Pelodiscus sinensis: one gene and its partners. The protein of the gene in region 3 interacts with the protein of the main gene of each other region in a pairwise test. Links are inferred from orthologs where the notes say so. Each region holds a gene or a part of one and is shown on either strand. Other genes may lie near its edges.

The links.
Region 1: the proteins of PPP1R18 (region 3) and STX11 interact in binary tests that used the Homo sapiens proteins (3 or more experiments, as listed by UniProt). The two-hybrid records come from large-scale screens. The link is inferred for Pelodiscus sinensis from reciprocal best matches to the Homo sapiens genes PPP1R18 and STX11.
Region 2: the proteins of PPP1R18 (region 3) and TEX11 interact in binary tests that used the Homo sapiens proteins (3 or more experiments, as listed by UniProt). The two-hybrid records come from large-scale screens. The link is inferred for Pelodiscus sinensis from reciprocal best matches to the Homo sapiens genes PPP1R18 and TEX11.
Region 4: the proteins of PPP1R18 (region 3) and MID2 interact in binary tests that used the Homo sapiens proteins (3 or more experiments, as listed by UniProt). The two-hybrid records come from large-scale screens. The link is inferred for Pelodiscus sinensis from reciprocal best matches to the Homo sapiens genes PPP1R18 and MID2.

The regions. Positions count from the first base shown.
Region 1 is NC_134713.1:102,086,183-102,093,448, forward strand, and holds the start of STX11 (syntaxin-11), read left to right. Parts: upstream 1-4,254; 5' UTR 4,255-4,677; intron 4,678-5,078; exon of another isoform or gene 5,079-5,092; 5' UTR 5,093-5,179; intron 5,180-5,212; exon of another isoform or gene 5,213-5,335; intron 5,336-7,266. UniProt on the Homo sapiens protein: SNARE that acts to regulate protein transport between late endosomes and the trans-Golgi network.
Region 2 is NW_027465980.1:262,628-270,508, forward strand, and holds the start of TEX11 (testis-expressed protein 11), read left to right. Parts: upstream 1-4,866; 5' UTR 4,867-4,997; intron 4,998-5,007; exon of another isoform or gene 5,008-5,132; intron 5,133-7,881. Other genes in the region: nuclear cap-binding protein subunit 2, read right to left, coding at 1,723-1,821, 3,091-3,229, 3,584-3,765, 4,497-4,583. UniProt on the Homo sapiens protein: Regulator of crossing-over during meiosis. Involved in initiation and/or maintenance of chromosome synapsis and formation of crossovers.
Region 3 is NC_134742.1:11,552,963-11,560,483, forward strand, and holds the start of PPP1R18 (phostensin), read right to left. Parts: upstream 3,009-7,521; 5' UTR 2,809-3,008; intron 1-2,808. Other genes in the region: NRM (nurim), read right to left, coding at 4,567-4,887, 5,961-6,137, 6,664-6,866.
Region 4 is NC_134723.1:1,581,407-1,588,366, forward strand, and holds the start of MID2 (putative E3 ubiquitin-protein ligase MID2), read left to right. Parts: upstream 1-3,943; 5' UTR 3,944-4,069; intron 4,070-6,960. UniProt on the Homo sapiens protein: E3 ubiquitin ligase that plays a role in microtubule stabilization. Mediates the 'Lys-48'-linked polyubiquitination of LRRK2 to drive its localization to microtubules and its proteasomal degradation in neurons.

The DNA of each region.
Region 1 (7,266 bases), on a different chromosome or scaffold from region 3:
TATTTAAATTATATGTTCAAATTCTATGATGCATATCAAAATATGCCCTCATTTACTGTAAAAGTAAGTATAAACATATTAATTATAAGCCTGTATCAGTTATTACACACACAAAGCTACATTAAAAGAATATTAATCTTTCCAAATGAAGCACTCAAAAGTTACGAAATGCTAGAATTAACCTGTTTAATTTTACCTGTTACCTGTTCAATTTTTGTTTGACCCCAGATTTAAATTCATAGCAATAGTCTTTAATTACATGGCAAAACACTATCTCCTAGTTTAAAAAAAACCCTGAAAAACAGAAATTCCATCCTGTGGCATCATGTGGACACCCTTATGGTGCATCCACATGTCTGAAATCTTTATATCCATGGCATAAACCTCAGTCACTTGAGCTAAGGTAGTAACTGATGTGCTGCTAACTGGAGAGCCCTTGAGAAAAGGATGGGCCCAGTTCCCCAGCCAACCCTAGAGATGTGGCAAATACCAGGAAAAAGAAAAGTGAACTGCTGGGACAACTTGTTCTGGGAAAGACTTTGTCATGTACCTCCCCAGAAGGGAGAACCACATAGTGACCTGGCTGGAGGGTCAAGTCTTGAACAGGAGGCTGCAGTTTCTGAAAAGAGAGGGGTTCATAGGATGAGCAGAGGATGAGAGAGATCCCACCAGAGAAGAGTGGCCAATAGGATGTAATCCCAGTCTCTACTAGGGATGTAAAATCTTGTACTTTACTTCACATTTAATTGGTTAACCAATTAATGGGAGCCACTCCAGCCCAGATGGGCTGAAACAGACTATTCCCACCATGCTAGGCTTCCAACTCCCAGCCCATGTGGGCTGGGAGGTAACGGCCCTGTGGGGCTGCCCTGAGGTAATGGTTACCCATTTACAATCCTAGTCTCTACTCCTCAGTCTTCTCATTCCAGTCCCATTTGTCTTGCCCAGCCAGTCCTAATCTCAATCTGAGCCTCCCCAACACTAGCTCTCAGTCCTAGTCTCGCTCCCTGTGCACCACACTCAAGATGTTAGTCTCCCCCTACCTGGCTCTTTGTCATACTCTCTTTGCCCAGTCAGTCCTAGTTCTCCTCCTGCACCCCAGTTCCTTGTCAGGTCTGCCTCACCTCCCCCACATTGGTTCTAAGTCTCAGTCTTTTCCCTTTATGGTCTTTGTCAGATCTCTGTCCTCCCTTACCAACTGTCTCCCTTGTCACTACTCTAGCTCATAGTCCCAAGCTTCTCCTCAATTCCAGTCCCAGTTTCACCCATGGCAGTGGATATCAAAGCCCAGGGGAGGCTAAGCCTCCCGTAAACCAGGCCATGGTCCCATCCATGCTGTGCCCCAAGGCCTCACCCAGGCTCTCCTTAAATTGGGAGAGCCTCAGCTCAGACTGGTAGCCAGGAGGTGTGGCAGCTTAGGCTGGTGTAGATGGAACATCCCAAAGGGGATGTTCACCTTCCACCCATGGTCGCACTGGACTCATTCTCCCAATCTTCTCCTTTCCCTTTGCTCAGACTAGCTTTTGTCCTTTCTACATTCAAATCAGATAGGTCCCTCCTCCACAATGCCTGGGTTCAAGTAGCGGGGTTACTGAACACACAGGAAAGACATTGTCTGGACCCATCCCATTTGGAGCAATCATAGTGAAAATCCAGTTTTGCCCCTGAAGCCCTGGCTTTGAGCACTCTTTGTGGGGATGGCACATGTGTAGCCTAGTGCCATGTAAGAATTGTGAGGGGATGGCACATGTGCAGTATGGTATGCAATAAGCATGGTGAGAGACTTGAGCAAGCTCAGTGAGGATGGGCTCTTTATAAATTTTAGCTGTTCAACTCTAGGAAGTCTATACTGAGCAGGTGTGCACTGAGAATTTTTAAAGATTTATAACTTGGCTAAATTCAGGGGGATTTTTACGGGGCTGGCATGTATAATATGAAGGCCAGTTCACTCAAAAATGGCTGAACAGATTTGACTGGAATTTTCTGAAAAAAAAAAAGTTAAACCTGAGAAAATTTCTTCAGTAAAGACCCAATTTAAGGCACAGTAAGTTAATACAACTTCTCTGACTGGGTAAATTACACAAATAGACACACAGCTGAATTTGGCCTCAACTTTTTGGAGCACTGTCCATGCAACACTTTTCATCTTGATTTGACAAATGGTTACGAATCACAGGGGTGATTCCCAGCAGGGGTGGCCCGTGAGGCTAGGCAAAGTAGGCAGTTGCCTAGGGTGCCATTGGCCCGGGTGCCTGATGATGATGTCACGGGGCACCGACGCACCCAGTGATTATGTCACGGCCATTGATGGCCGTGCAGGCAGAGGTGCCAATCGCGCCTTCTGCCTGGAGTGCCAGCTGCAGCAGCCGGCCTCAGGATGCTCCTAGTTCCCAGCAGTTTTTTTCTGCCATCTTGCTGTGTTTGTGTATTGGTCCTACCATGTTTGTACTAGTGAATTCTGGGAAAATCTGGACAATTCTGCCACAATGCTTCAGGCCCTGTTCAATAAGGTATACAAGCACATGTTCTGTGTCAGGTATCTGAGATGTCCCATTTAAGCTAATGAGACTATTCACATTTAAATTCTTTTCTGAATCAGGACCTCAGAAAGGGAAAAAGCAACTGGAGAACATGCACAGTGATTGATTAGTATCAGCAACATGTGGGGCAACATACTGTGGGCTTTGTACTTCACAAAGAGCAGTAAAGCAGGACTAACCAAACTGGTTATACGAACTTAGTTAAGGTGTCTGGTCCACATTGCAAAAAAGATGAACTTGTTACAGCATGATGTATGTCAGCTTGCGCCTCTGGCACAGCAAAAGAGGATTAGTTCAACACAGTTACTATACTTACCACAGTCACAATAGAGTTTTAAACTTATGTGTGTTCAAACAGAAGCCACGTGTACAGCCAGCCACACCAGCAACTCATTACAAGTTATAACATGAAGAGGGCCCAAAAACTGTAGTCTGATTGTCTGCCACTTTTTTGGCAACTGGTGATTGTTGATATTCACTGGGGCAGTTTCTATTCCTTCCCCAATTTCTCAGTCTATCACTTACCACCCTTCTCCTGTATCATTCTGCACTGTACCTCCTACTTCGGATTAGAGATGTGAACGAGTAGTCAACTAGCTGATTAACTAATAAACCTACTCTTATTAGTTAATCTAGTTGACTACTCACATTCCCCCCCCCCCACTGCCTCTGTATCAGAGGCAACAAGGGGGGGGAGCAGGAGCTGGTGCTGGGGGGGAGCCAACTTAAAAGCTGATTCTCTTGAGCACTGGCTCTGCAGTGCCACCCGCCCCTCCTTCGCAGCAGCAGCCCCTGCCCACAGGAAGTCTGAGCTCATCACAGGCAGACACTCTCTCCATGAGCAGCTTGGACCCCCGTGAACAAGGACTGATGCCAGAGCAGCCTCCACTGCCCCACTGCTCCCGCAGCAGCCTCTGTCCATGGGAGTTCAGACCCTCCGCATACAGGGGCTGCGGCCACCCCACACTGCTACCTCTGTATCAGAGGCAGCATCGCAGGGCAGCAGGTAGATGGTCTGCAAGGGGAGCTGATTTTCAAACAGGCTCCCCTCACAGACCAGCTCCTGCCTGGCACCCCACGCTGCTGCTTCTGATATATAGGAAGTAGCGTGGGGTGGCAGGAGGCTTCCTGGGAGTGGAGGTGGAAAGCACCGACTGCGGCCCTGCCCCTGGGGACTATAGACTAGTCAATTAACTGCTAAGAATTCCCGTGGTTAGTTGACTATTCTATTACCCACTATCTAACATCCCTAGATCAGATAGCCTCCACCCAGTCAGGTTCCCAGGAATTCTGGTTCCTCTTCACTGTCTGTAACTTTACTCTTCTCCCTCTCACTGCTTCCTGCCTCCTGACACTCACCTGCTACTTCTCTGCTCTGAGGCTCCTCTCCCCTTTCCGTCCCTCACCCATACCTCTGCTCTGTACCCCCCTTAGTCAGCTCCCCAGCCTGCTCTAGCCTCATTAGCACAAAGGAGGGTTAGAAGAGCCAAGCCAGTCGAGTCAGGGTTTGTTGGCCCCCTGCGCAGCTGGCAAAAGGCCTCTGCAGCCGCAAGAGGGGAGCAAGGAAGGAGCCGTCACTAGGCAATGGCAGGCCCAGCTGCTGGCTACAACCAGAACCACCCACATTTCCTAGCAGCTGGGGAAAGCCCCCCCCCCGCCTGTTCTCGGAAGTGACCCACCGCCAGCCACTGCCTGAAACAAGCCTGCGGGGGAGAGTAGGAGGGGGATGTACCAGTCGCTCCCCAAGTCATCCACGGCTCTGCAGCACACCCTGGGAGAGCCCCGGCCCCCACTCCACCTGCTGAGCGCCGGGCTTCCCCACTGCGCCGAGGCGGCCGCTTGGAGCCCCCCTCCCCCCTAGTTCCCAGCCCGGGCCCTGGAAACCCCCTTAGCCGCCTCCCCAGTGCCCCGCAGCGCTGCATCCCGCGCGCCCGGTCACCGCCGCAGCCTCTGCCCGCGGCCAATGGGCCAGGACGGGGGAGGAGCCGGGGCGGGGCGGGGCGCGCAAGGGCCCCGGGGAACGACCTGCGCCCCAACCCGGCTTGTCAGGTTCCTCGGAGGCAGCGGCGCGTTGAGCCGAAGGACGTGAGCGGAGCGAGCGGCGGGGACTCAGCTCCTCGCCCATCTTCCTGGAGCGGTGAGTTCAGCCCGCCCGGACCGCGAGCCTGCCTGGCCAGCGTCCCCTTGGGGGTGGCGGGGTGCGCTGCTCTTAGCGCCAAGCCCCCGCTGTCGGCCGCTCCCGGGAGCCCCGAGTCTTGCTGCTGTCTCTCAGCCTGCTGCGGAGAGCTCGCTCTTCTCTCGGCTGCGTGGGGTGGGTGTGAGCTGAGCCTCTCGCTTCGGGGGAAGTTGCAGCCTCTGAACTTTGCCAGATCGGACTAAGGCGATGCGCTAGCTGCCGAGCCGGGTGGAGGGGTGGCAGTGGACTAAAGGAAGGGGACGTGGGGTGCCTTTGTGGGGGCAGAGTTTCCCTTTTGTAATAAATAACAAGTGGTTGTTTTAATTGGGAACATCATCAGCCAGTAAGACACTAGACAAGTTCAGGTTTCCTTCAGATTGTGGCACGTTTGGAAACCACACCTCCACGGAAACATTGAAGCTAACTCCTCTCCATCTATCTCTGGGAAGTGATCGAGCCACAGGTAAAGTGCCACTGACCTTTCCAACAGAAGCAAAGGCGAGAACAATGCTGTTGTATAGTAGTGACTCGCTAGTGTTGGAACTTGGAAGGCTGGGTGTGCTTCCACATAGCCCTGTTGTCTGTTTCTCAATAAAGCAACAAGTGTAGAAGGTGCTCGGTGAGTTTATATCTGGCTGAAAGCCATTTAGAATCTTTTTTTTAATGTATTCAGCTGTAATTTCTTAATCTTGTCACTAAGAAGAACAAAATCAGGATCTCCCTGTCTATGTAACCTAACAAATGATAACTTAATTAGCAGTTCTGGCCTCCTATTCTATTCCAAAACCAGGCAATATGTATAATAGGCGTTATATCCAGAATATAAGTCATTTTATTCTCCTTAACCACCCCAGAATGATCCATGGTTCATAAGTGACTGAACTAGTTAGCTTTCTCTGGTACTTCTTACTGATTGCTTAGCATGTATATACTACAAATTGTATGATAGTGGGACAGGAAGTGACCAGAAGACTGGCCTGAAAATAGTAAGTTAAGCTTCCTGTTCCTATTCTTGAAGTTTGAGGTGTCCTTTTTTTTAAGTGTTTAGAAACAAACACACACAAAGGAAAATCAGTGGCTCTAAACATAATTGCACAATGTGAGAACTTAAACAGTGGCATGGTTTTCTGATAATGTTGCTTAGAACTTTAAAGTTTCAAAGGGCTATGCAATTGTGAAGATAATATTCTGATTATTCAGAGAAGCTGAGGCTGAACTTTTATATACTCTCTTATGGTGCCCCCCATACCCATGAATAATTGTTACTCTGCTTCTACTTAAGGCTTGAGAGGAGTAGCTACTGTTCACAGCTTATTGAGTGACCCTATTGAATAGGGTAGGTTTGTTTATGAACCAAACAATGGATTTAGCCAGCTGGTCTCTGTTTTGTTTTTTCCCTTTAGACTAAAATGGTAAAATAGCAAGTGTTATTAGGGTTAGGTTTCTATTAATAATAGAAGTGTGAGATTACCCAGGAGAAGATGGTGTATGTGCCAAATGTTTCAGTTTATTTTCGGTGGTAATAGTAGCTTCTAATTATTGCAAATTAACTGCAACACAGTAACATAAAATCGCATGCATACCACCCTCTCACGAAGGTTAATCATGTCATTGGGTTAGGTTTACTGCTATACTTTTAATGGTAGCTAATAAGCTGTTAAGTTATTATAGGTCTAGATTTTCCAGCAGTATACAAATATTTTTATGTCTGGAGGGGGAATGTGAGAAGGTGTGGACTTCTATTTGACAGAAATGTAACACTGATTTAGCTCTAGTCAAAGTTACTAGTTTCTTTGCATGATTATGGGACAAAAATAGTGTAGAGTTGGGATAATATTATAGTTTATTACAACTATAGTCAGGCACATGTGTTGTACCTGACTCATTGTGGGGAGGCGATGGAGAAAGCAAGATGAATTCTCCATGGATTTATGTTGTTGGAGTAGCATAAATAGGGTTTCCATGCTGCAGGCAGGATTTAAGATTTAAAGCCATTTTTTTTCTTTACCAGGGAAGAGTGGCAATCTGGTAATTTATATGCTTAAATTCACTACAACTTTAAATCAGACATAATTTCAGATATTAAAATAATGCAATCTCTGCTTTCCTCAACTTCAATATTTTTAAACTTTTTTTAATAATGGGTTACCCCAAAAAATGAAAATATTTCCATTAGCAATTGCTGAATTGTTTTCCCTTTCTTAAGTGAAAAGATAACATTTTGCAGGATGATTCCAAACATCTCAACCAGTACCACTAATTCTGGAGTATTTCACTAAATATTTGTATTTGAGAGAGACGTTTGCAACTTGAGACCACATACAAATGTGGGGGAAGCGGCTTTGGTCTCCAATATTTGATTGTCTGAAATCATCTGGGAATCTGATCAGCTCTTCAATTTATGAATTTTTTGTAATAAACTCACACCTGCTTTTTCTTGTTGCTAAATCTCATACATCTAGAACAGGCAGGTGCCCAACATTTTCTTCCTGAGAGATTCCAGAGGGTAGCAACAAACAAAAATTGCCCAAGGGTAGCCTCATATACTCC
Region 2 (7,881 bases), on a different chromosome or scaffold from region 3:
TGCTTATCAGTTAGTTGACTAGTCAACTACTCCTTTGCATCCCTAAATAATAACATACAAAACCAGTTGGAGAGCATTTTAATTTGCCTGGACACAGATAGAGATTTGAAAATTGCCATTCTTCAGCAAACAAACAAATCAAACCCCTTCAAAAACAGACTGCAACGTGAAACCACTGAACTGGAATTCATATACAAATTGACACCACCAGAACAGGTCATTACAAAAAATAATTTTCCCCTTTGGGTATTCTCACTTTACCACAGTTGGAAGTGGGCCACATCCACCCTGATCGAATTAGTGCTGATGTAATGCTCCCATCTCTGTTTCTCTACCATCTGATTCTTTCCCTTCATGCATCTGATGAAGTGAGTTGCAACAAGCAAAAACTTTATAACTTGATAAAATGGTTAGACTTTCAAGGAGCCACTGGACTCCTTGTTTGTGCCTGTGTAAGCACTTCTCTGGCAATTACTCCTTAGTTATCAGGGCTGTTGGGTAACTCAGAGTGTGCTTGGAGGCCTGGTTGTGTCCTGCCACTGAATAGGACAGAGGCAGACATTTTTCCCTCTGAAGTTCAGAGGCCTTGAGCTGCTAAAGTATGTGATTTAATGCAAAAGAAGAAACTGTTACAGCACCTCATTATGCAGGAATGCGTTACAGGAACTGTATGCTAGGGTAATTTCCCTTTCTCCAGCTGGAGGACTCAAGAAAGAGCAGTATGCCCTGCAGCTCCTGCTTCTTGGTCTGGCCCCATGATGCTTCATGTGCTCTATGCTACAGGACTTGGCACTACGATGGCAGAAAATGGGGAAACTTCCTGGCATTCACTGATGCAGGGAACTGAGGACTAATTTCGCATCTTAGTACACACAGCAAAGTGTAACTTTACTGGTGATTTCACGAGGTGACAAACCCGCTACTAGCACAGAGTGCAATGGGAAGACAAATGAGGCCAGCACCAAAAGGAAGACCCAGATCACAGCAAACAGGACGACTGCCCCACTGTGGTCAGAGAGCAGCCGACATGCCAACAGGTTGTGTCCCCCAAAAGCCCTGCCACATGCCCAATGGCAATGAAGCGCAAACTGCAGCAGGTACAGGACTTAATGTTTATTTAAAAAACCCAGACACAAACAAAACCACATTGTAATAGTGACGCTCTGCAACAGCAGGCAGCATCACAGATACAGCAAAGACTAAGGCTCTGCAGGGCTTACTGAGCAAAGGGTCCAGAGTTCAGACAAGCACTTGCAAGTGGCCAGTAAGATCTTGCTTTGCTTCCCTAATTTATATCAGGAATGATGCTTTACAGAGGCAAACAAGATTGTAAATTACATATTTTAAACTCCTCCCTCTGTCCCAGAGCTGCACAAGCAGAAAGGCGGGCTTTGATGGCTGTTGTATTTCTCAGAAATCTGTGCTCGAGAGCAACCACAGCTGCAATGACAACTTGGAGGCAGAAGTCTGAGCGGGACATGTCTCACTTATTCTTAGTGAGAAATTCTGCAGCGCTGGCCACTCTATTTTCTTGCTGCCCTGTATCACAATAGATCAGCCATTCCAGCCCAGGAGAGATGAGAAATGAACAAATGTTGAACAGCCAGTCTCGTATTGCCTTTTGCTGGAACCTGGCTCCAATCACACCCCCATCCAAAGAGTGAGGCCAGAGCTAGCTGCAGAGGCTCACCATCCCTCTAGGTACTGGGATAGATTAGTCATTTAGTAGATTACGGTCTGGTGATTGGTTTTCTGCATCTGAATGATTTTGCCAAAGCCACCTCTTCCCACATCATAGTCTGTCCGGTATTCGTCTCGCACCTGGGGCAAAGCAGTAACACAAATCAGCATCTGCACCTGGCTAGACAGAGACATGCTAGGCACCCTCTTCGCATACATTGGTGGTGGGCTGAAGCTCAGATTACAAGCCTTTGCAAGCCCTTAAAATACCTTGCAAAGGAACCATTACCAAGGAGACTGATGGGAAGACCTGACTTTTCTAATGGCGGGGCCATCATTAGACATAATGAAGCAGCAGAGAAGGGCCAAATTCTGTTTGGTTTTGCTTTGCAGTTCATCTTTATGAATCGCCAAAGCCTGAACCTAAAGCTTTGTTCCTCTGGAAATCTGGGAAGAAATTTTAATCTTCTCATAGGCATCATTTGATGATTAAACTAGCTTTAGAACCACACCATCCCCATTATGATCCTGTTTCTCACTCCCCACCTTGATTGCTACACCCTTTTGAGAACACTATCTTGAGAAGTGAGCAAAGCGGTTTGTTTTGGGCCATAGGGAGCTTGGAATGTAGTTTCAAAAGGCATTAAGTACCATGCTCCTACTCTAGTGATCTTAAAATAATTTTAGACTGGCTTCAGTTCATTACTGGGTCTGCCATGGATGACTGCCTTTGTACTAAGGATGTGAATGAATAGTCGGTTAATCTAGTTGGCTACTCGCATTCTGTCCCCGTTGCCTCTGTATCTGAAGCAGCAAGGGGAGGGAGAAGCAGGAGCTGGTGCCACCTGCTTCGGCCCCCCATACCCCACACTGCTGCCTCTGTCCCAGCCCCCCGTGGACAGGGGCTGCTGCTGGAGCAGCCTCTGTCGCTGGCCAGCCTGGGTTGCTGCAGACAGAGATTGCTCTGGGGCAGCCTCCACTGCCTCCTACTCTCCCAGTAGCCTCTGTCCACAGGGAGCTTGGACCCTTGCAGACAGGACTGTTGCAATCCTGCACTGCTGCTTCTGTATCAGAGGGAGCAGTGCAGGGTGGCAAGCAGCCAGCCCACAAGGGGAGCTGGTTTTTAAACAGTTTCTCCTCGCAGACTGGCTCCCTCCTGGCACCCTGCACTGCTGCCTCTGATACAGAGGCAGAAGCGCAGAGTGGCAGGGGGCTCCCTCAGAGTGGGGCCAGATTGCATGGCTGCCGGCCCTTCCCCCCACGGACTATAAAATAGTCAACTAACCGCTAAGAATTCAATTAACCGACAGCTAACATCCCTACTTTGCACTGGATCGGCCAAAGGTAGCTCCACCCATCACCCAGTCCCAAGGAAGGCTGGCTCAGTGCTGAAGCTAGTATTTTCTTTACCTGTCCTCCAGACTTTCCTCTCCCATATTGTCGTCCCTCCTTAAACCCTGCATCCCAGTCAGTCCTGATGATCCGATCATCCAGTCGGGTGCCATTGATATACCTCATTGCATGCTCAGCATCTGCTCTTGTATAATACCTGGAATTTGTTATAAGGAAGACTCAAAGTGTTGTTCAGCTTGTCAATGCCAGCTGCATACAGGGAATGAGAGAAATGACTATATCCACAGCAATGTCAGTGACTGAGGCAGGATGGTAGAGAAATAGCAGACCCTGTGAAGGAGGGAAACTGTTTGGTACTGTGAATGAAAGCTCACAATTTTCATGTTTGCTCACATATCACAGGAGCATTCCCAGCTCCTCCAGAGAGGCCAGATATGCTCTGTAACATGCTGATGTTCAACAGAACTGAGGGGATATAATCCACCCAGGATGCGATTAATCAAAAAGCAGTGGCAGAAAAATTATGGCAACAGAAAACGGAAAAGGATACTCCACGAAGCAGAAGCCACAAGGGGTTTTCTTGACCTTGTCTAACCCCATGACAATCCTCTTAACATCTCCGCATTTGGAGAAGAGCTCCTGGATCTGCTCCTCAGTGGTGTAAAAGGACAGGTTGCCCACATACAGTGTGGAAGAGAGCTTCAGGGCCTTATCCTGTAGGTATCGGCTACCCTGAGAGCACAACAAACAGTAAATGGAAACAGCAACCTACTGTTCAGGGAATGCCTGACCCACTGGTTGTGAAACTGCTACTTCTGCCTGTTTGAGAACCTCCCCCTCCTACTCCAGCAATGAAGTGCAAGATGGCAATCATGGCAAAGGGCATGGGCACTTCTGCCTCCCTCAGGTTTGGGTACTGCACCCTGCCATCTCCTGGGCTGCCATCAGCACCTCAGGACCTGCCCCCTGGCGCTGTGCATCCTGTCCCCCGCCGGTGCTGTACACCCATGTGCCCACCCCCCGGTCCTGTGCTCATCCCCTCAGGCTGCCGCTACGCACCCCTGCCCCCAACCCTTGGCACTGTGCACCCTGCCCCCACCCCTCAGGCCCCGCCCCCTGGCGCAGTGCACCCTGCCCCCACCCCTCAGGCCCCGCCCCCTGGCGCTGTGCACCCTGCCCCCACCCCTCAGGCCCCGCCCCCTGGCGCTGTGCACCCTGCCCCCACCCCTCAGGCCCCGCCCCCTGGCGCAGTGCACCTGCCCCCACCCCTCAGGCCCCGCCCCCTGGCGCTGTGCACCCTGCCCCCACCCCTCAGGCCCCGCCCCCTGGCGCAGTGCACCCTGCCCCCACCCCTCAGGCCCCGCCCCCTGGCGCTGTGCACCCTGCCCCCACCCCTCAGGCCCCGCCCCCTGGCGCTGTGCACCTGCCCCCACCCCTCAGGCTCGGGCCCTGCCTGCGCGCACCCGGAAGTGCTGGTCGCGGTACTGGCTGATCTCGCAGTAGGAGTCGCTGCTGAGGCCGCCCAGCGTGGCGCTCAGCGCCCCCGACATCCCGGCCCGGGACCCGGAACCTTCCAGAAGCAGCACGGGGCCGCCTAGCCGGGAAGGGAAGCGCCGAGCAGCCCATTGGCTAAGCGCCTGCTACTCACCGCGAGGGGGCCGGGCCTACAACCCCATTGGTGAGGGGCCGCGGTATACGTGCGTCACGTCACGGCAAGCCAATCAGCGCGCTAGGCTCGGCCGCCGCTAGCAATAAAATGGTGGCGAGGCACCGCCCACCTCTCGCGCTGGGTCTCTGGGAGCTGTAGTTGTCTGGCTCGCGGCAGGGTGCGCGCGCAGCACGATTTATCCCAGCATACTCCGCGGCGCGAGACGCCGCCTGCTTGGGCGGGAAACGGTGCCTGGCTGAGGTGGCGCGAGGCGAGTGTCGCTGCCCGTGACAGGAGCCCTGCCCGTCGGCGGCAGGTGACCGTGCGTCCCCGGCGGGGCTCGTAGCCCGCCATTGTATGCGCGGAGGTCGCCTTCCTCGCCGGCCTCCCCCGGGAGCGCGGGCTGCGGCCGTGAGGGGCTCGGCGCTCGTCGCCTGGGAGCGCTTCTGGGGTGGGTGACCCGCCCTCGGGGGAGGCCAGGGGAAGCTGAGGGGTGTGGCGTGGGGGGGGGGGTGTCAGGAGTAGCAGTGGCCCTGGGCAGGGCGCTGAGGGGTGTGGAGTGGGGGGGTGTCAGGAGTAGCAGTGGCCCTGGGCAGGGTGCTGAGGGGTGTGGCGTGGGGGGGTCAGGAGTAGCAGTGGCCCTGGGCAGGGTGCTGAGGGGTGTGGCGTGGGGGGGTCAGGAGTAGCAGTGGCCCTGGGCAGGGTGCTGAGGGGTGTGGAGTGGGGGGGGGGTGTCAGGAGTAGCAGTGGCCCTGGGCAGGGCGCTGAGGGGTGTGGAGTGGGGGGGGGGGTCAGGAGTAGCAGTGGCCCTGGGCAGGGTGCTGAGGGGTGTGGAGTGGGGGGGGGTGTCAGGAGTAGCAGTGGCCCTGGGCAGGGTGCTGAGGGGTGTGGAGTGGGGGGGGGTGTCAGGAGTAGCAGTGGCCCTGGGCAGGGTGCTGAGGGGTGTGGAGTGGGGGGGGGGGTCAGGAGTAGCAGTGGCCCTGGGCAGGGCGCTGAGGGGTGTGGAGTGGGGGTGTGTGTCAGGAGTAGCAGTGGCCCTGGGCAGGGTGCTGAGGGGTGTGGAGTGGGGGGGGGTCAGGAGTAGCAGTGGCCCTGGGCAGGGTGCTGAGGGGTGTGGCGTGGGGGGGTCAGGAGTAGCAGTGGCCCTGGGCAGGGTGCTGAGGGGTGTGGAGTGGGGGGGGGGGTGTCAGGAGTAGCAGTGGCCCTGGGCAGGGCGCTGAGGGGTGTGGAGTGGGGGGGGGTGTCAGGAGTAGCAGTGGCCCTGGGCAGGGTGCTGAGGGGTGTGGAGTGGGGGGGGGGGTCAGGAGTAGCAGTGGCCCTGGGCAGGGCGCTGAGGGGTGTGGAGTGGGGGTGTGTGTCAGGAGTAGCAGTGGCCCTGGGCAGGGTGCTGAGGGGTGTGGAGTGGGGGGGGGGGGTGTCAGGAGTAGCAGTGGCCCTGGGCAGGGCGCTGAGGGGTGTGGAGTGGGGGGGGGGGTGTCAGGAGTAGCAGTGGCCCTGGGCAGGGCGCTGAGGGGTGTGGAGTGGGGGGGGGGGGTCAGGAGTAGCAGTGGCCCTGGGCAGGGTGCTGAGGGGTGTGGAGTGGGGGTGTGTGTCAGGAGTAGCAGTGGCCCTGGGCAGGGCGCTGAGGGGTGTGGAGTGGGGGGGGGGGGTCAGGAGTAGCAGTGGCCCTGGGCAGGGTGCTGAGGGGTGTGGAGTGGGGGTGTGTGTCAGGAGTAGCAGTGGCCCTGGGCAGGGTGCTGAGGGGTGTGGAGTGGGGGGGGGGGTGTCAGGAGTAGCAGTGGCCCTGGGCAGGGTGCTGAGGGGTGTGGAGTGGGGGTGTGTGTCAGGAGTAGCAGTGGCCCTGGGCAGGGCGCTGAGGGGTGTGGAGTGGGGGTGTGTGTCAGGAGTAGCAGTGGCCCTGGGCAGGGTGCTGAGGGGTGTGGAGTGGGGGTGTGTGTCAGGAGTAGCAGTGGCCCTGGGCAGGGCGCTGAGGGGTGTGGAGTGGGGGTGTGTGTCAGGAGTAGCAGTGGCCCTGGGCAGGGCGCTGAGGGGTGTGGAGTGGGGGGGGGTGTCAGGAGTAGCAGTGGCCCTGGGCAGGGCGCTGAGGGGTGTGGAGTGGGGGGGGTCAGGAGTAGCAGTGGCCCTGGGCAGGGCGCTGAGGGGTGTGGAGTGGGGGGGTGTCAGGAGTAGCAGTGGCCCTGGGCAGGGCGCTGAGGGGTGTGGCGTGGGGGGGTCAGGAGTAGCAGTGGCCCTGGGCAGGGTGCTGAGGGGTGTGGCGTGGGGGGGTCAGGAGTAGCAGTGGCCCTGGGCAGGGTGCTGAGGGGTGTGGAGTGGGGGGGGGGTGTCAGGAGTAGCAGTGGCCCTGGGCAGGGCGCTGAGGGGTGTGGAGTGGGGGGGGGTGTCAGGAGTAGCAGTGGCCCTGGGCAGGGTGCTGAGGGGTGTGGAGTGGGGGGGGGGGTCAGGAGTAGCAGTGGCCCTGGGCAGGGCGCTGAGGGGTGTGGAGTGGGGGGGTGTGTCAGGAGTAGCAGTGGCCCTGGGCAGGGTGCTGAGGGGTGTGGAGTGGGGGGGGGGGTGTCAGGAGTAGCAGTGGCCCTGGGCAGGGCGCTGAGGGGTGTGGAGTGGGGGGGGGGGTGTCAGGAGTAGCAGTGGCCCTGGGCAGGGCGCTGAGGGGTGTGGAGTGGGGGGGGGGGGGTCAGGAGTAGCAGTGGCCCTGGGCAGGGTGCTGAGGGGTGTGGAGTGGGGGTGTGTGTCAGGAGTAGCAGTGGCCCTGGGCAGGGCGCTGAGGGGTGTGGAGTGGGGGGGGGGGGGTCAGGAGTAGCAGTGGCCCTGGGCAGGGTGCTGAGGGGTGTGGAGTGGGGGTGTGTGTCAGGAGTAGCAGTGGCCCTGGGCAGGGCGCTGAGGGGTGTGGAGTGGGGGGGGGGGTGTCAGGAGTAGCAGTGGCCCTGGGCAGGGTGCTGAGGGGTGTGGAGTGGGGGGGGTGTCAGGAGTAGCAGTGGCCCTGGGCAGGGCGCTGAGGGGTGTGGAGTGGGGGTGTGTGTCAGGAGTAGCAGTGGCCCTGGGCAGGGTGCTGAGGGGTGTGGAGTGGGGGTGTGTGTCAGGAGTAGCAGTGGCCCTGGGCAGGGCGCTGAGGGGTGTGGAGTGGGGGTGTGTGTCAGGAGTAGCAGTGGCCCTGGGCAGGGCGCTGAGGGGTGTGGAGTGGGGGGGGGTGTCAGGAGTAGCAG
Region 3 (7,521 bases):
AGTGGTTTCCATCTTATGTAGAGTTTACAGTTCAGTCCGGTGGTTCTCAGCCCTGCCCCATACACAGTATTCCAGCCCCGCTGTTAGGGGTCAGGCTCTGATCTGGGGAGTGCCCAGCTATTTGCATTGAGAGATCGGGGGACAGTGATGTGAGGATTTCGGCTTGGTCCCTAGAACCTCTGAGCGCAGGGGATTTAAAGCAGGGGGAGCAATTTCTCAGTGGTTCTAGGGGTACAGAGAGTTGCAGATGGTGGTTTAGGGGGTAGAAATTGGGCTGTCAGAGCTTGGGGGTGGTGGATGGCAGCGGATTGATGTGCAGCCTCATCCAGCATCTCAGAAGTTGCTGGCTCCCGGCTGACCTGCCCTGGCACCCCCCACCACCCTATTTGTTATTGTAGGGTTCCCTTGCTGATTTGTTGTAAGGCAACACAAATGCTGGTGCCCTTGTGCAGACCTGTGTGTTATTGTAGGGTCTCTCAGGCATACGGGGGGGGGGGGGTTGTTGATTACACCAGGGAGCCCTGGGAAGGACACTTTTATTTTGGTAGGGTCGCACAGCAACAGGCGGGATTTTTAATACACCACCACCCCCTGGAGGTCTGGTTGAGGAATTGCACCATTTGGGACCCCAAGTCTCCGTGAGGTAAGGAGGACAAGGAGAGGCAGGCGCCCGCATGCCAGGTGAGGCAAAGGGCACCTCTTCCAAGAAAACCCACCCCTAGCATGTAAACCTTGCTGCAGGCTAACAGAAAAATTCCAAACCCTTCCCCTGGGATGCAGCCATCTCTGGGGAGGGACAGAGAAGTAACAGCCCCACATTTTAGGAGGGGGCTCCCTAGGCCAGTTACAATCGCAAAGCACGGTGGGCTGTAGGGCGAGACTACAGTAAGCTGTGTGGGAATTAGGCCAGGACAGCAGCGGTGCCACCGCACCTCGTGGGAACAGGACATGAGGATATTTACAAACTTCCCCCGCGCCCGGCCCGATACTGCACCAGGGTGTCAGGATCAACCCTGAGCGCCGGGGGTCAGCGCCCCCTACAGAGCCCCTGCTCTGCTCCCTTGTTCCAGCGCTAACCCTGCCTGACCCTTCAAGATCAGACAAGCGCCTTAGTGAAGGCCGCTCCCTCCCCGCCAGCTGTCTGCAGCCTCTAATCCAGCAGGAATGCATGACGCACGCATGCCGGCAGGCCTGTGTCATAGGCCCAGCCCCCGGCCTCAGGCCTGGGAACTGCCAGGCCCCTGCCTGCCTGGCTACAAGCAGCCATGGGGGACAGACACCGAACCCACCATCCTCCTGGGAGGGACTAGAAACCCTGCCAGAGAGCAGTGGGTTTCAACCTTGCCCCACCCTGAAAAATTTCAAATGGTGGAATAGACCCCTTGAAAATCTTAGCCATCTCCTGGGTACCCTGAAACCATTGACAGAGTGACATGGCCCCCGTAATGCAGAGATGTAACAGACGGCTGAGGCGAGTTTGCCTGTACCAACACCATCCCCTAGTCCCCAGACATTAAAATGCAGTACCTAGTTTGCCTGTAGCAACACTGCCCCCAACAGGTAGAGACTGTGAAATGCTATTGCTAGTTTGCCTGTCCCGACACCGCCCCCTAGTCCCTAGAAATTAAAATGGAATAGTTAGTTAGCGGTGTTGCTACAGGCGGTGACAGTGAAATGCTACAGCTAGAAAAACTTGAAAAACAACAAATAGTCTAGCTGCATCTTAATGACAAACAAAATATGTAGATGGGATCCTGAGCTTTTTTGGGTATAGCTCTCTAGCTAGTTTGCCTGTACCGATATGGCCCCCTGGTGGGGGGACAGTGAAATTTGATAGCTAGTCAGCCTGTAGCAACATTGCCCCCTAGTGGGTAAATTAATGGAGATGCCTATCTCCTAGAACTGGAAGGGACCTTGAAGGGTTCAGTTGAGTCCAGTCCCCTGCCTTCACAGTGGGACCAAGTACCATTCCTGACAAATTTTTGCCCCAAATGGCCTCCACAAGGATTGAACTCACAACCCTGGGTTTAGCAGGCCAATGCTCAAACCACTGAGCTATCCCTCCCCCTCTAGCCCCTGCCCATCTGCGGAGCATACAGTGAGGGGGAATCTCCTGGCCAAAGGCAGCTTCTGCCCCATGGAGCACTGGAGGAGGGGAAAAAAAAAGAGGATCGGGACTAGGAGTGGGGAGAGGGCTGGAGCGTAAACAGCAGCGCAGCTGGCAGACAGATGGTGCCTCCTGGGGTATCAAGATTGGGGTGGGAGGCAGTGTGCATGCAGCCAGTCATGAACGGTGACCCCCAGGTGAATATCGCCTGGCAGAAAATCCCAGTCCCCTAGTGGGCCCGATCCTTGCTTTTCTTTTCCTTCCCTAAACTTTCCGTGGACCCCCTATAGTACCATCACAGACCCACAGGTTGGGAACCACTGCTATAGCTAGTTCGCCTGTACCAACACCACCCAGGCGAGAGACACAGTGAAACACACTAGTTTGCCTGTACCAACACTGCCCCCTAATGGAGCAAATGCCCTCGGGAGTGGGCCTGTATCAACACTGCCCCCTGGCGGGGAGACAGTGAAACGCTGTGTTGTGTGCCTGAATTAACACTGCCCCCTGGCGGGGAGACAGTGAAACGCTGTGTTGTGTGCCTGAATTAACACTGCCCCCTAGTGGAGAGACAAGAGAAACGCTGTTTTGTGTGCCTGTACTAATACTGCCCCCTAATGGCGAGTGGTGGTATAAAACCAGTAGTGTGCTCAGTGGATTGTTCCATAGTGCAATGCCGTGGCTAGTTTGCCCGTACTAACCCCGTCCTCCGGCAGGGAGTACCGCAACGACCGGCTTGTCTGCCACAGGCTCTTGAGTGTTCGCAGAGCAGCGTGTTTCTGGAATAGCAACAGGTCTGTCCCCTGCACTGCCGAGCTCTGGTCTGTTTCACAGTTAAGGACACAGAGGAAAAGGACAAATGACTCTCGATGTCAAGTGGAGAGTGGAAAGGAACCCAAGAATCCTGACTCCCAGCCCCCCCTTTTCCTTGCCCCCCCCTGCTCTAACTACTAGACCCCACTCCTCTGCCACAGCTGGAGAGAGCCCAGGAGTCCTGGCCCCCTGCTACCCCTCTGCTCTAACCATTAGACTCCTCTCCCCTCCCCGAGCTGGGGGGAGAACACAGGAGGCAGACAAGTGTGTAAAAGCAGCAGCGACTTTTCTTTTTTAATTTTGGGAAAAAAAAAGTTCTCTCAGCTCGCACAAAAATCAGAAATACAAAAATACTTTATCAGCTTTGGGCGAAGACGACCATGTTAAAAAAACCCTTCGGTGCTTAAAAATAAAGGGTCCCGGTTAAGGCACTGGGATCCCCTGCCAGAGCCAGGAATCGAACCCAGGAGTCCTGGTTCCCAGCCCACTTGCTCTAAGTCCTAGGCCCCCCATCTCCTGCCAGAGCTGGGGATAGGGATAGGACCCCCCCAGTCCTGACTCACAGCCCCCTGCTCTAAACCTTTCCACTCCCAGAGCTAGACCAGAATCCAGGAGTCCTGACTCCTAGTTTCATGCCCAGCGACTGGGGTCCTGGGCACAGAACGAGCCACCCCTCAGCCCCTGCCACCCCACAACCGGGCTGCTACTCACTGCTGAGACCGCCAGCAAGAGGGCGGTGAAGTGCCCAAAGGAGACGACTGGTCCGGGAACCCGTCAGTGTGAACCACAAGGCACAGAATGGTGGGCGGGCGGGAATGGCTTTTGGCTCCTAGGGAAGAGAGTTGGAAAAGGGACCCCCCCCCACAAGGGGAAAGGTGCCACGTCCCAGTCCTCAATCTCCTGAGCCAGCCAGTCCCCCACCCTGGTGTTGGATCAGAGCCCGAGCCCCCCTACAGGGGACATGCCATTCGCCAAGTCCAGAATAAGCCCCACTCCCCAGTGTGTGACTGAATTCTGCACAGATTTATCGTTGTTTTGTGTTTCAAAACACACTTTCAGAGACTCTTTCTGCAGCCACAAGTGCGGCTCGAAACAAAACATGCTGGGTAAAGCCGCCGGGTAAAACCCAGGAGTCCTGATTCCCAGCCTCAAGTCAAGCCTCCGACCATTAGATCCCACTCCCCTTCAAGAGCTGGGGATGGAACCCAGGCGCCCCGCCTCTCAGCCCCCTCTTGCTCTAACCACTAGCCCCCACTCCTTTCCCAGAGCTGGGAAAGAGAACCCAGGAGTCCAGGCTCCCCAACCCTTTCTTGCTCTAACCACTAGTCCCCACTTCCCTCCCAGTGCTGGGGACAGAATGGAGGAGACCTGCCTCCCAGCCTGCCTTACTCTAACCACTAGCCCCCACTCCTCTCCCAGAGCTGGGGATTGAACTTAAAAATCCGATGCAAGGAGGCTGGCGCCTAGTGGTTAGAGCAGGGGGGGGCTGGGAACTGCTGTCTCTGGGAGGGAGTGGAGCCTAGTGGTTAGAGCAGGGCTTGGCTTGGCATTTGCAGACGCTAGGCACTCAGAGGAGCTAATTCTACAGGAACTAGTGCAGGACTCTTGAGCTCAGAGCCTCAGTGCATGGTAGAGGCCCTGGCCCCTCAGCTCTCCTTGGCAGCCGCCGGGCCGTTGCGGGCCAGCAGGTCCCCATAGGCAGCCTCCTCGCGGGAGAAGACCAGGAACTTTTTATCCAGCTGGGCGCGCAGGTAGAGATAGTCCTGCTGGTCCAGGGCGTGCCCGCAGCTCAGGTAGAGGGTGAAGAGGCTGGCCAGCAGGAGGCGATCCAGGGACAGGCAAGGCACCACCCACAGCACCAGCAGGAACTCCAGGTAGACGGGGTGGCGGAGGTGGGAGTAGAGCCGCAGGACTCGCACGGACTTCAGCGCTAGCGGGTCTCCCATGCCCAGGCAGTGGTAATAAACCTGGGGGAGGGGCAAAGGGCAGAGCTGAGACACGCCCTGCTCCAGAGCAGAGCTGGATCCCTGCTGGCGCCCCCTAGGGGAAAGGCTCCATGTCGCCTTCACAGCCAGCCAGTCCCCCAGGCCGGAGCCACATTGGATCTGGCGCCCCCTAGAGGAGAAAGGCTCCATGTCGCCTTCACAGCCAGCCAGTCCCCCAGGCCGGAGCCACATTGGAGCTGGCGCCCCCTAGGGGAAAGGCTCCATGTCACCTTCACAGCCAGCCAGTCCCCCAGGCCGGAGCCACATTGGATCTGGCGCCCCCTAGAGGAGAAAGGCTCCATGTCGCCTTCACAGCCAGCCAGTCCCCCAGGCCGGAGCCACATTGGAGCTGGCGCCCCCTAGGGGAAAGGCTCCATGTCGCCTTCACAGCCAGCCAGTCCCCCAGGCCGGAGCCACATTGGATCTGGCGCCCCCTAGAGGAGAAAGGCTCCATGTCGCCTTCACAGCCAGCCAGTCCCCCAGGCCGGAGCCACATTGGATCTGGCGCCCCCTAGAGGAGAAAGGCTCCATGTCGCCTTCACAGCCAGCCAGTCCCCCAGGCCCGAGCCACATTGGATCTGGCGCCCCCTAGAGGAGAAAGGCTCCATGTCGCCTTCACAGCCAGCCAGTCCCCCAGGCCCGAGCCACATTGGATCTGGCGCCCCCTAGGGGAAAGGCTCCATGTCACCTTCACAGCCAGTCAGTCCCCCAGGCCGGAGCCACATTGGATCTGGCGCCCCCTAGAGGAGAAAGGCTCCATGTCGCCTTCACAGCCAGCTAGTCCCCCAGGCCGGAGCCACATTGGATCTGGCGCCCCCTAGGGGAAAGGCTCCATGTCGCCTTCACAGCCAGCCAGTCCCCCAGGCTGGAGCCACATTGGATCTGGCGCCCCCTAGAGGAGAAAGGCTCCATGTCGCCTTCACAGCCAGCTAGTCCCCCAGGCCGGAGCCACATTGGATCTGGCGCCCCCTAGAGGGGGAAAGGCTCCATGTCACTTTCCACACCCCTCCTGAGCCAGGCACCTCTCCAGCCCTGGCTGCGTGGGGCCGAGATACCTGCTTGACTCCCATGAGCTCGGCGTAGTCGAAGATGAGGATGACGCTGAAGATGACCAGCCAGGCGATGAAGTGCAGGATGAAGCAGAGGAGCGGGACCCAGGTGTCCCAGGGCTCCGTGCAGGCGTCCCAGAGCAGGGGGCCGTGCCGGACGGGCTGCCAGTACCGCATCAGCAGCTGCGGGGGAGCCCCATTTGAAATGGCTCTGCCGGTGCCCCTCAGTCCCGACCCAGCCTCGGGCTCCCCCCAGCTCTGCCTGTGCCCCTCACCTCCTCCCACAGCCCCCTGCCCTGGGCTCCGCCCCCCCATTACCTACTAGCCCCCCCAGCTCTGTCGGTGCCCCTCACTCCTGACCCGCAGCCCCTGCCAGCCCTGCCCAGTGCCCCCAGCATCGCTCACTCCCAACCTGCAGCCCCTGGCTAGTCTGGCCCTGCCCCCTGCCCCACCCCCAGCTCTGCTGGTGCCCTAATTCAGCCCCAACCCACAGCCCTCAGCTAGCCCAGCTCCGCCAGTGCCCACATAGCCTGGCTACCCCAGACCCTGGGATCCCCCCAGTTCTTCCGGTGCCCCTCAACCCCCACCCACAGCCCTCTGCCTTGAGCTCCCCTCACTCCCGACCTGCAGCCCCTGACAGTCTAGCTCTGCCAGTGCCCCTCACTCCCAACCCCTCCTAGCCCAGCCCAGGGCTTCCCCCAGTGGGTACCTGCAGGGCCAGGGAGGTGCAGAAGACGTAGAAGGATCGCTGCAGCACCCCGAAGCAGCTGGCAGTCCAGCGCTTGGCCAGCGCAGTGGCCATGAGGCTGTGCTGCAGCACAAACAGCATCACCAGCCCCAGGTCCATGGCCAGGGGCTGCAGTACCCGGGGGTCCTGCAGGGCAGCTCCCCACTGCGGGCTGGGGGAGGCCTCTGCAAAGGGGGAGACAATGATTAATGGGAGGCAGAAAGTACCCAGGAATGAGCTACCCATTTGGGTCCCTCCCCTCCTCTCCCCCAGAGCCCTGCTCCCTCCTCTGCCCCCAGTTCCCTCTTTGCTCCCAGCTCCTGCCCTAGGCCCCAGCAGGACCCAGCTTAACCACCCTGCCTTGCCCATGGCTTCTGCCCCCCGTCCCAGCTCTCCGGCATTCCCCCCTAACCTCTCCCCACTCTGCTTCACCTGGGTCTCCCCTCTCCTGCAGCCCCCACTATTCCCACAACCCCCGGATTGGGAGGAGCTTTCCCCAGGATCCACCCTGTCTCCCCAGAGACCAGCCTCCAGGGAGGGGCTTACCCTGGGTCTCCTCCCTTTTTCCACTCCCGCCTTGGATCTCCTCTAGGTCTCTCTTCCCAAACTCCTCCCCCACCAGGAGTCTCCTTTGGGGCACCCTCCCCTCCCAACCGCCAGGGTCTCCCTCAAGGTCTGGTCTCCCTTGCTAATTCCCCTCCCCCAGGTAGGTCTCCCTCCAGGTCTCAACCCCAGGTCTCTCCTGCACCCTCTCCTCCTGGTCTCCCCCCAGGTCTCTCCTGCACCCTCTCCTCCTGGTCTCCCCCCAGGTCTCTCCTGCACCCTCTCCTCCTGGTCTCC
Region 4 (6,960 bases), on a different chromosome or scaffold from region 3:
AGCTGCTGATCCGTGTGCATGCGAGGGTTCAAAAGCACATGCCTTGGGGTTGGAAGTGGAGAGGAAGGAGGCGCTAAGGAAACCTGGAAAAACGGAGTCATCCAACCTGGAGCAATGGCTCAGTGCTGGAAAGTGAGAGACCATACGAGCCCAGACGATCTCCTGGAACCAAACCCACCAGTGGCTCGGGCCGCGGCAGACCAGGCGTTCTAGAGCCAGGCAAGGTCGCAGAACCTGCCCAGGCTGCGGATGGAGTAATACGAACATGCTCCGGAACCCCGGGTTCTAATTCTGGCTCTGACTGATTCACGAGGGGACCCCGGCAAGGCGCGTCCCTTCTCTGCCCCAGGGCCCTGTCCATGCAGCGGGAGTCCTGGGCAGTGTATTGAGATTGTTTTGTTCATGCAGGGCGCCCAGGGCCTGGCACAGGCAAGTACCCGCAGTCTCTGCTGAAAACCACCCCAACAGGACTCCACTGGGCGAGCCGGTGCCTCCGCGGCCCCGAGGGGTCGACGCTGCATGTGACTCATTTCCAAACCGTTACCGGGGCAGGGCAAAGCCCGGTGGGGGTGGCACACGCCCTCCCCTCCTTGGCCATCTGCTTTTTTGTTTTAAACAGGAGAGCGAACAGACAAGCTGTCTGCACACATTTGCCAAAGATGGCCCCGGCACTTCCAGCCCCAGTGCTGCCGGGATCCAGCTGCGCGAGGGAGCACCTTTCAGCCTGACAGGGCCCTCTCCCCCGTCAATCGCGTAGGGAAACGGCTTGCGAACGGAAAATGCCTCTTTCGCTTCAGGGTCCCCAGAGCTCCGTAAAATCTGTCAGGTGAGCACGCTGGTGTCTAAGGAGGAATCCACCAAAGGCGGCTCTGGGCCCAGGCAGCGCTTCATGAAGGACCACGGAGAAATGAACAGAAACTGGGACAGCGCAAACCCTCCCTCTTTGGGAAGCGCAGCAAGGGAGGACATCAAAGGAGAGCCGCCGGAAGGATGCAAAACCCTATTGATCTTCCCTCTGCCGTGCAGCTCCATCCTAATGGACGGCAACCCGCCGGCACGGGGTGAGCCGCCGCTCGGCAGATGGCTCCCCAGCAGGGGCGAGGCACACCCGCACACATCTGTCCCCGGCGCTGGCTGGGGAGTGGCGAGGTTTCCGGCAGATTTCTGAAAGATCTGCACAGATAAGGAGACCCACACACACGCTCTCCCTCCTCCTCACCTCCAACCAGAGCTGCTACTCCGGCTCTCCCTCCCTCACCCCCCGCCCGCGCTGTGCATCTGTCGGCTTGTTTACCTTCCTCCAGGGCGCGGTGCGGCGTGCGTGCCGGGGCTGAGCTGGGAGACCAGGATGCTGCATGCCTGGCTGCTCCACATGCTGCCCGCAGAGAGGGCTGTCTTGGAAGGGCTCCCCCCTCTGGGTCTCTGAGCCTGAGACCCGGCCGGGACACCCCACTCCTCTTCGACACAGTGAGTCTGAACAGAGCAGCAAAGGAAGCCCCCTTACAGCTCGCCCTGGCTTAGAAGCCTGCAGGGCCCATCCCAGAGCCTGTGGCCGCCTTTCTGATTTCCTTGGATTCGTTATTTTCATCACGGCCTGGCTTGTGCCTGACTCGTCCCCCGAGTCCATGCTGCGATCACAGGGCCTTTTCTCCCCCGCCGCGTTGCATTGCCACTGCTTAGACCAGGCTGTGTCCCACATCACCCCTCTCCTCCTCCCAAGCTGGGCAGGCCCTCGCCCACCGAGACAGACCAACAGAGACACAGCCGGCCCGCCCGCTGCCTGGCTCCTTGTGAGATCATTCACGCCCGCTCAGCGCACAGGATGGGCCGGGATTCTCACCCCGGCGAGATTCCAGTGCGACACGACGGAACGCGCAGCGTGACGCACCGGTGGCAAGGGGAGGCGAACCTGGCCCCGGCGGCGGCTGGGCATCTCCCTCCCTTCACATCCTGGCCCAGAGCAGTTCTCGGTTCGCTTTGGTGCAGGGGGACGGACCCGCGGCCGCGACCGCGCTGCGGAACCCTAGCGGAGACGCAAGAGACGTTAGGTGAGGTCTGAGCAGGGATGCAGAGCTGAGCTCACCAGCCACCTCGTCTCACTGTGGATTTCACAGCAGGTAACTAACACACATGAGAACAAGCCGCCCTCCCCCATGTTTGGCAGTGCGGCCATAGCCACTGCAAGCTAATGGCACAGCTGGGCCCAGAACCGCTCTGCATGCAAAGTCTCCTTCCTAGAACGATCCCTCCCGCCCACTCGAACAAGGTTTGCCCAGAGGTTCCCTTTGCCCTGCACGGCCCCATTTTGGGTGGCATCGTTTCCCGCGACCCGGGCAGAATGGAAGGCGCCACGTTAAAATGGCACCCCCTGCACAATCACGCCTGGGGCACCACGTGGGCAAGGGAGCGAGGTGCAGGGGTGGATGCAGCTGAAGGAAGAGGCTCAGCCGGGCAGGTGTGGGTGGGGCCAGGACAGTGCAGGAGCTGGGCAGGGCTGAGAGAAGGGAAGGGCTTTGTGCGGTTCCACTCACTGCTGGGGAGGAGCTTTGGGGAACTGGCAGGGGCAGGAAGAAAAAAGGAACCAGCAGCCCCTGAGAGCAGCGAGGCCAGAGAGGGAAGGACCCATCTGCTGAAGTGGGGGCCCTGAATACACAGTGGGCCTGGGTGCGGGTTCCCCTCGCAGGGCACGGAGGCCGAGTAGGGGAACGTGGCTGAGCCATGAACTGGATGCTGCATTTCCTGAGGCTGCAAGCGGATGGGGTGACCGCAAACGGCACAGGAGAGGTTGGCCGTGAGTTCATCCTCAGAGTCCTGCAGGTGGTGCCTGCCGGCAGTGAGCGGTCCCCACGGGGACGTGCCCGGCTGTAGAAGGGGGGCCTCCACACCCGGGGGAGCGTCACGACCCAGGGATCTCACCGGGGCTGTGACCCATCACCTGGGAACTGCTCACGACCAGGAAAGAGGCAGAGCCCAACACACACTCTGGGCGGGTACAAGTGAGCTGTTGGGTGGGGGAGCAGTATTCTGTCTGTAGGGTGCATTTCCCCCTTCTGCGCCTGCCTGGTGACTACAGCGGCCTGCTTACCCAACAGCAACCGCAATCCCAGCCGAGCCGGGTCTTCCCAACGTACGAGACGCACCCAACACCCTTCCTCAGTTTCTGACGAGAAGGGGAAATAACCTCGCGCTCAGCTCGAGCTGCAAACGGAAAAGCAAACACATCGAAAGTGTCAAGACAAAGAAATTGAGTCTCAGCGTCTAGTGTCTCCTCCCCTGGAATAATGAATGATAATAAAAACCAGCTCCACAGGTCTCTGTGAAGGCCTTGGCCTGACAGCGGGTGCAACTAGCTACCTCGGAAATGGACTTTCCTGGGGGCAGGGGGAATGGCCTTCACGGCCCCTTTACACCCTGCTCTGTGCCGGGGGGATTGCTAGGAACGCAGCCCCTGAGCCACCCTGGGCGGTTTCAAGGGTTATTAGCTGAGCCAGCGGCCCTGTGGAAGCCTCGCTCCTTCATTGTGGCCAGAAGCGAGTGGAGCGTGGTCCCCGCCGAGGTGGACAGACCGGGTGGGCGGGGTGACCAGCCTGCCCAGAATAGCGGCAGTGGGGCCTTGCTGCGGGGCCTGCCTGAGTTTGCAGAGCGCCTGAGACCACAGCTCCGAGGGGAACCGGCCCCTCTTCCCGCAGGCACCAACCGCGCCGCCAGCCGAGCTACGGGGAGGGCGAATGGCCAGCGCGCTGGGGGAGGCGGGCCGGGCCGGGCGCGGCCGGAGGGGTCCCCGCAGTGCTGGCCGGGAGCCGCGGAGAGTCGGCGCTGGGCGGGGGCCTGGCCCGGGCAGGTAGCGGCGGGGCCGGTCTGTGCCAGGTGCGCGCGGGGCAGACCCGAGGCTGGGAGCCGCCGGCTCCGTGCGCCCTCACCTGCGGGCGCGGAGCCGGGAGGCGGGGCGGGAGGCGGCGCTGCTCTGCCCTGCCTCCCCGCTCGCCGCCGCTCGCGCCCCGGCCGGCGCTGTCTCTCCTGCGCCTCCAAGATGAGCGGGCAGCGGCGGGGCGGCTGCCGGATCCCGCTGGTAGGTCGGGGCGGGCGCGGCGAGGGAGGCCGCTGGGGCGTGGGAGCGGGCGGGCAGCGCCCCCCAGCCGGCTCCCCGGGGCAGCCCCCGGCCCGGGCCCGGCTCGCTGCTGGGGCGCAGGGCGAGCGAGCGGCGCAAGCCGGTCCCGGCCCGGCAGCGTCCTTGGGCGCGGGGCAGGCGGGGCGTCCTAAGCCTGGCCTGGGCCGGGCCTGGAAGGGCGGCGGGGGCAGCACCCCCGTGCGCAGGGCTGGCGGGTCCCAGAGCATGGTCACCGCCCCCCCCAGGCCTTTCCCCCCGTGCTCTGCCAAAGCTGCTCGGGATCTCCCTTGGCGGGGAGGAGAGCGGTGGCTTGGCAGCCCCCCCCCCCCCCCGAAGCGGCTCCCCCCATTCGCTTGCCAGGTCTCCTGCCGGCTGAGAGCAGTGAGGGGGGGGCCGTGCTGCTCTTCACATCTGGATCTTGCCCCTCACCGGGCTCAGCTGCCCCCCCCCCCCGGTGCACAATAACAGATGCACGGCCTCTGTCCCGGCTGGGCTCTGGCCTGTCCCCTCTGTAAGCCTGGGGGTCTGTGCCCGGGAGCCCTGGGTCCATTCTGGGCAGCAGGGTGGATTGGCGGGGGCTTCGGTGGCCACAAAGTTTAGTTCGGGGGGGGGGGGGGGAGCTCTGCTGTGGACTCCCAGGCGGAGCCGGGTGGGCGCCCGCGGGCACACCGGGCAGGCTCCTTGGCGTTCTGCACAGTGACGCCGGGGCTGGTGTTGCTACCGATGTTTTGCTCTTGTTTTCGATTGACTTTCTGCTTCTCCCGGGGAGAGCTCTGGGCTGGAAGCGCAGCGTGCGGGTGGAATTGCGAGGCTGGCAGTGGCGCTGGGTTAGCGCCGGGGTAACGCCTGGCTGGCGAGCTTTGTGGGGAAGCACAAGGTGTATGTCTCAGCTGTTCCGCGTGCGACTAGCCTGCTGCTATTGATCTGCGCAGCGGTGCCGGTGCTTGGCGGCAGCGCTCTCAGCGGGGCTGGGGGTTTGGCTTGCAGTCGGTGCCTCTCAGTTCTCTCCAGCCTCGGTGTGTTGGGATGTTCCTGGGCTAGGCGCTGCCTGTTCCTGGGGGCTGCGGGTGTAATGCCTCCTCCCTAGGGGACAGGCGTTCTGCAGCTGTGATTCGGTGGTTGTTGGCAGTGACTTGGCTAGAACTGCCCCACTCCAGGAGCTGCCGTGGCTTAGCCCACTGGTAGCCTGGCCCCCCTACAGCTCAGGTGGGGTGGATTTCTAGACTGTGTGGCCCCTACCTGGGTGCAGGGAGGACAGCATGCTGGGGGAGCGGAGAGCAGTGCCCGCGGCTCGTACTGGGGACCGAGCCAACTTGGGCCTGGGTTTGAATGGCGCCTTTTTCCTACGAATAATATTGAACACCCCCGTCTCGCTGCTGTAGAACAGGCCGAGTGCCCTGTGGGCAGCTGGCATTGGAGTCCTGCTCAGCAGCGGGGAGGCGAGAACATTCCCCATGCAGCCGATGACGGGCGGGTTTGAAGGTGGCAATGGTGAGCTGCCTCGGTTTCCTCTGGGCTGCTTTGTGCCGTGTCTGTCACTGCTGCTGCCCAGAAGTTGTTAGGAATCTGCTTGTGTTGCTTTTCCCTTGGCTTCTCCTTGTAATGAATAAATAATAAAGGCTGCTCAGCACTGACGAAACGCCACAACCTGCCTCCCTACGACAGCACAAAGCACACAAGTGACAGGAGCCGCGCGCGGGGTGACGAGCCCGGAGGAGGGTTGCACGGCGTCCCAGAGAGGCGCTGGGGCTTGCTTGGGCGCGCCCGAGGTTTACACACAATGCCGACCAGTCTGTGCCCGCAGCAGCCTCGTGCAGGGCCAAGGGAAAGCTGCCTGCTCTGCTAAGAGTTACCCTGCCGGGTTTGGGAACCTTGCTCTGCTGAAGCTGCCGCTGCTGCTGATTGAGCCCAGCCGCTGCAATAGCCCGTTTGCATGAATAATGGGATCCGACAGCGTCCCCGGCAGAGGCACGACACGCTAAGTGACTGCTAACTGTTCTGTGTGCAGACAGACATACGTGTGCGAGAACACGGGCTGGCTCGCGATTGGCGTCTGACTCTTAAAAAAAACGGGCTGTCGTTTTGAATCATGCGGAGGGCGGGGGGGGAGGTCACCTTCCCCAGCGTATTTTTGCTCCTAAAGGTTGGCGGATGTTTTGGTTTGTTTTGGGGGAGGTGTCCGCTCCCTGCTGGGCGTTCCTCAGTCTCTTCTGCGTGTCCTGGTCCACCTGGCATGTCTCGGGCCGGGAGGAGAATTGTCCCACGGCGTGTCCCGGGAGGAGCGTTTTGGGCAGGCGGGTGCCAAGTGGAAGTGCTTTGGTTTTCACGAACGCCGAGCAGCCAGTTGCAAGCGAAGGCCATGCTGGCAAGAGACCGGCCCCTTGGGGTGTGGGTGCCTCCAGCCCGGCACTTGACACTGCTAAAAGAAGCCAAGACCGTTCTCTGTCCTGGGGGGCAGGTCTGCTGCGGGGGGCGAGCCATTGCAGCGTTGCGGGGCGGAGCACAAGGGCAAGGCAGACGGGCGCGTCGGAGCGGAAGCGTGTACGGCTGAGTTCTGCTCACGGTGAGACGGGCTTAGATCTGCACGTTGCACTGCCGTGAACGGATGCCACTGACCTCGTGACCCAAGATGGTCCTTGCCGCAAGCCAGCGAGCCGCTGGAGCCTCCTCCTGGGGTATTGAAACCCTGGTGCGGTTTGGGGGGGAGTGCAGACCCCGAGCTGCGGTGTGCCTGGGTCTGGCCCTTTGGCTGGGCTGCCGAGCTGCGAGTCGCGTCGCTTGCCAGCCCCTCGCAGCCAGCTGAGCGGAATGCTTGTCAGCTGTGCTGCTTTGGCTTTCGGTCTCATTCGAGC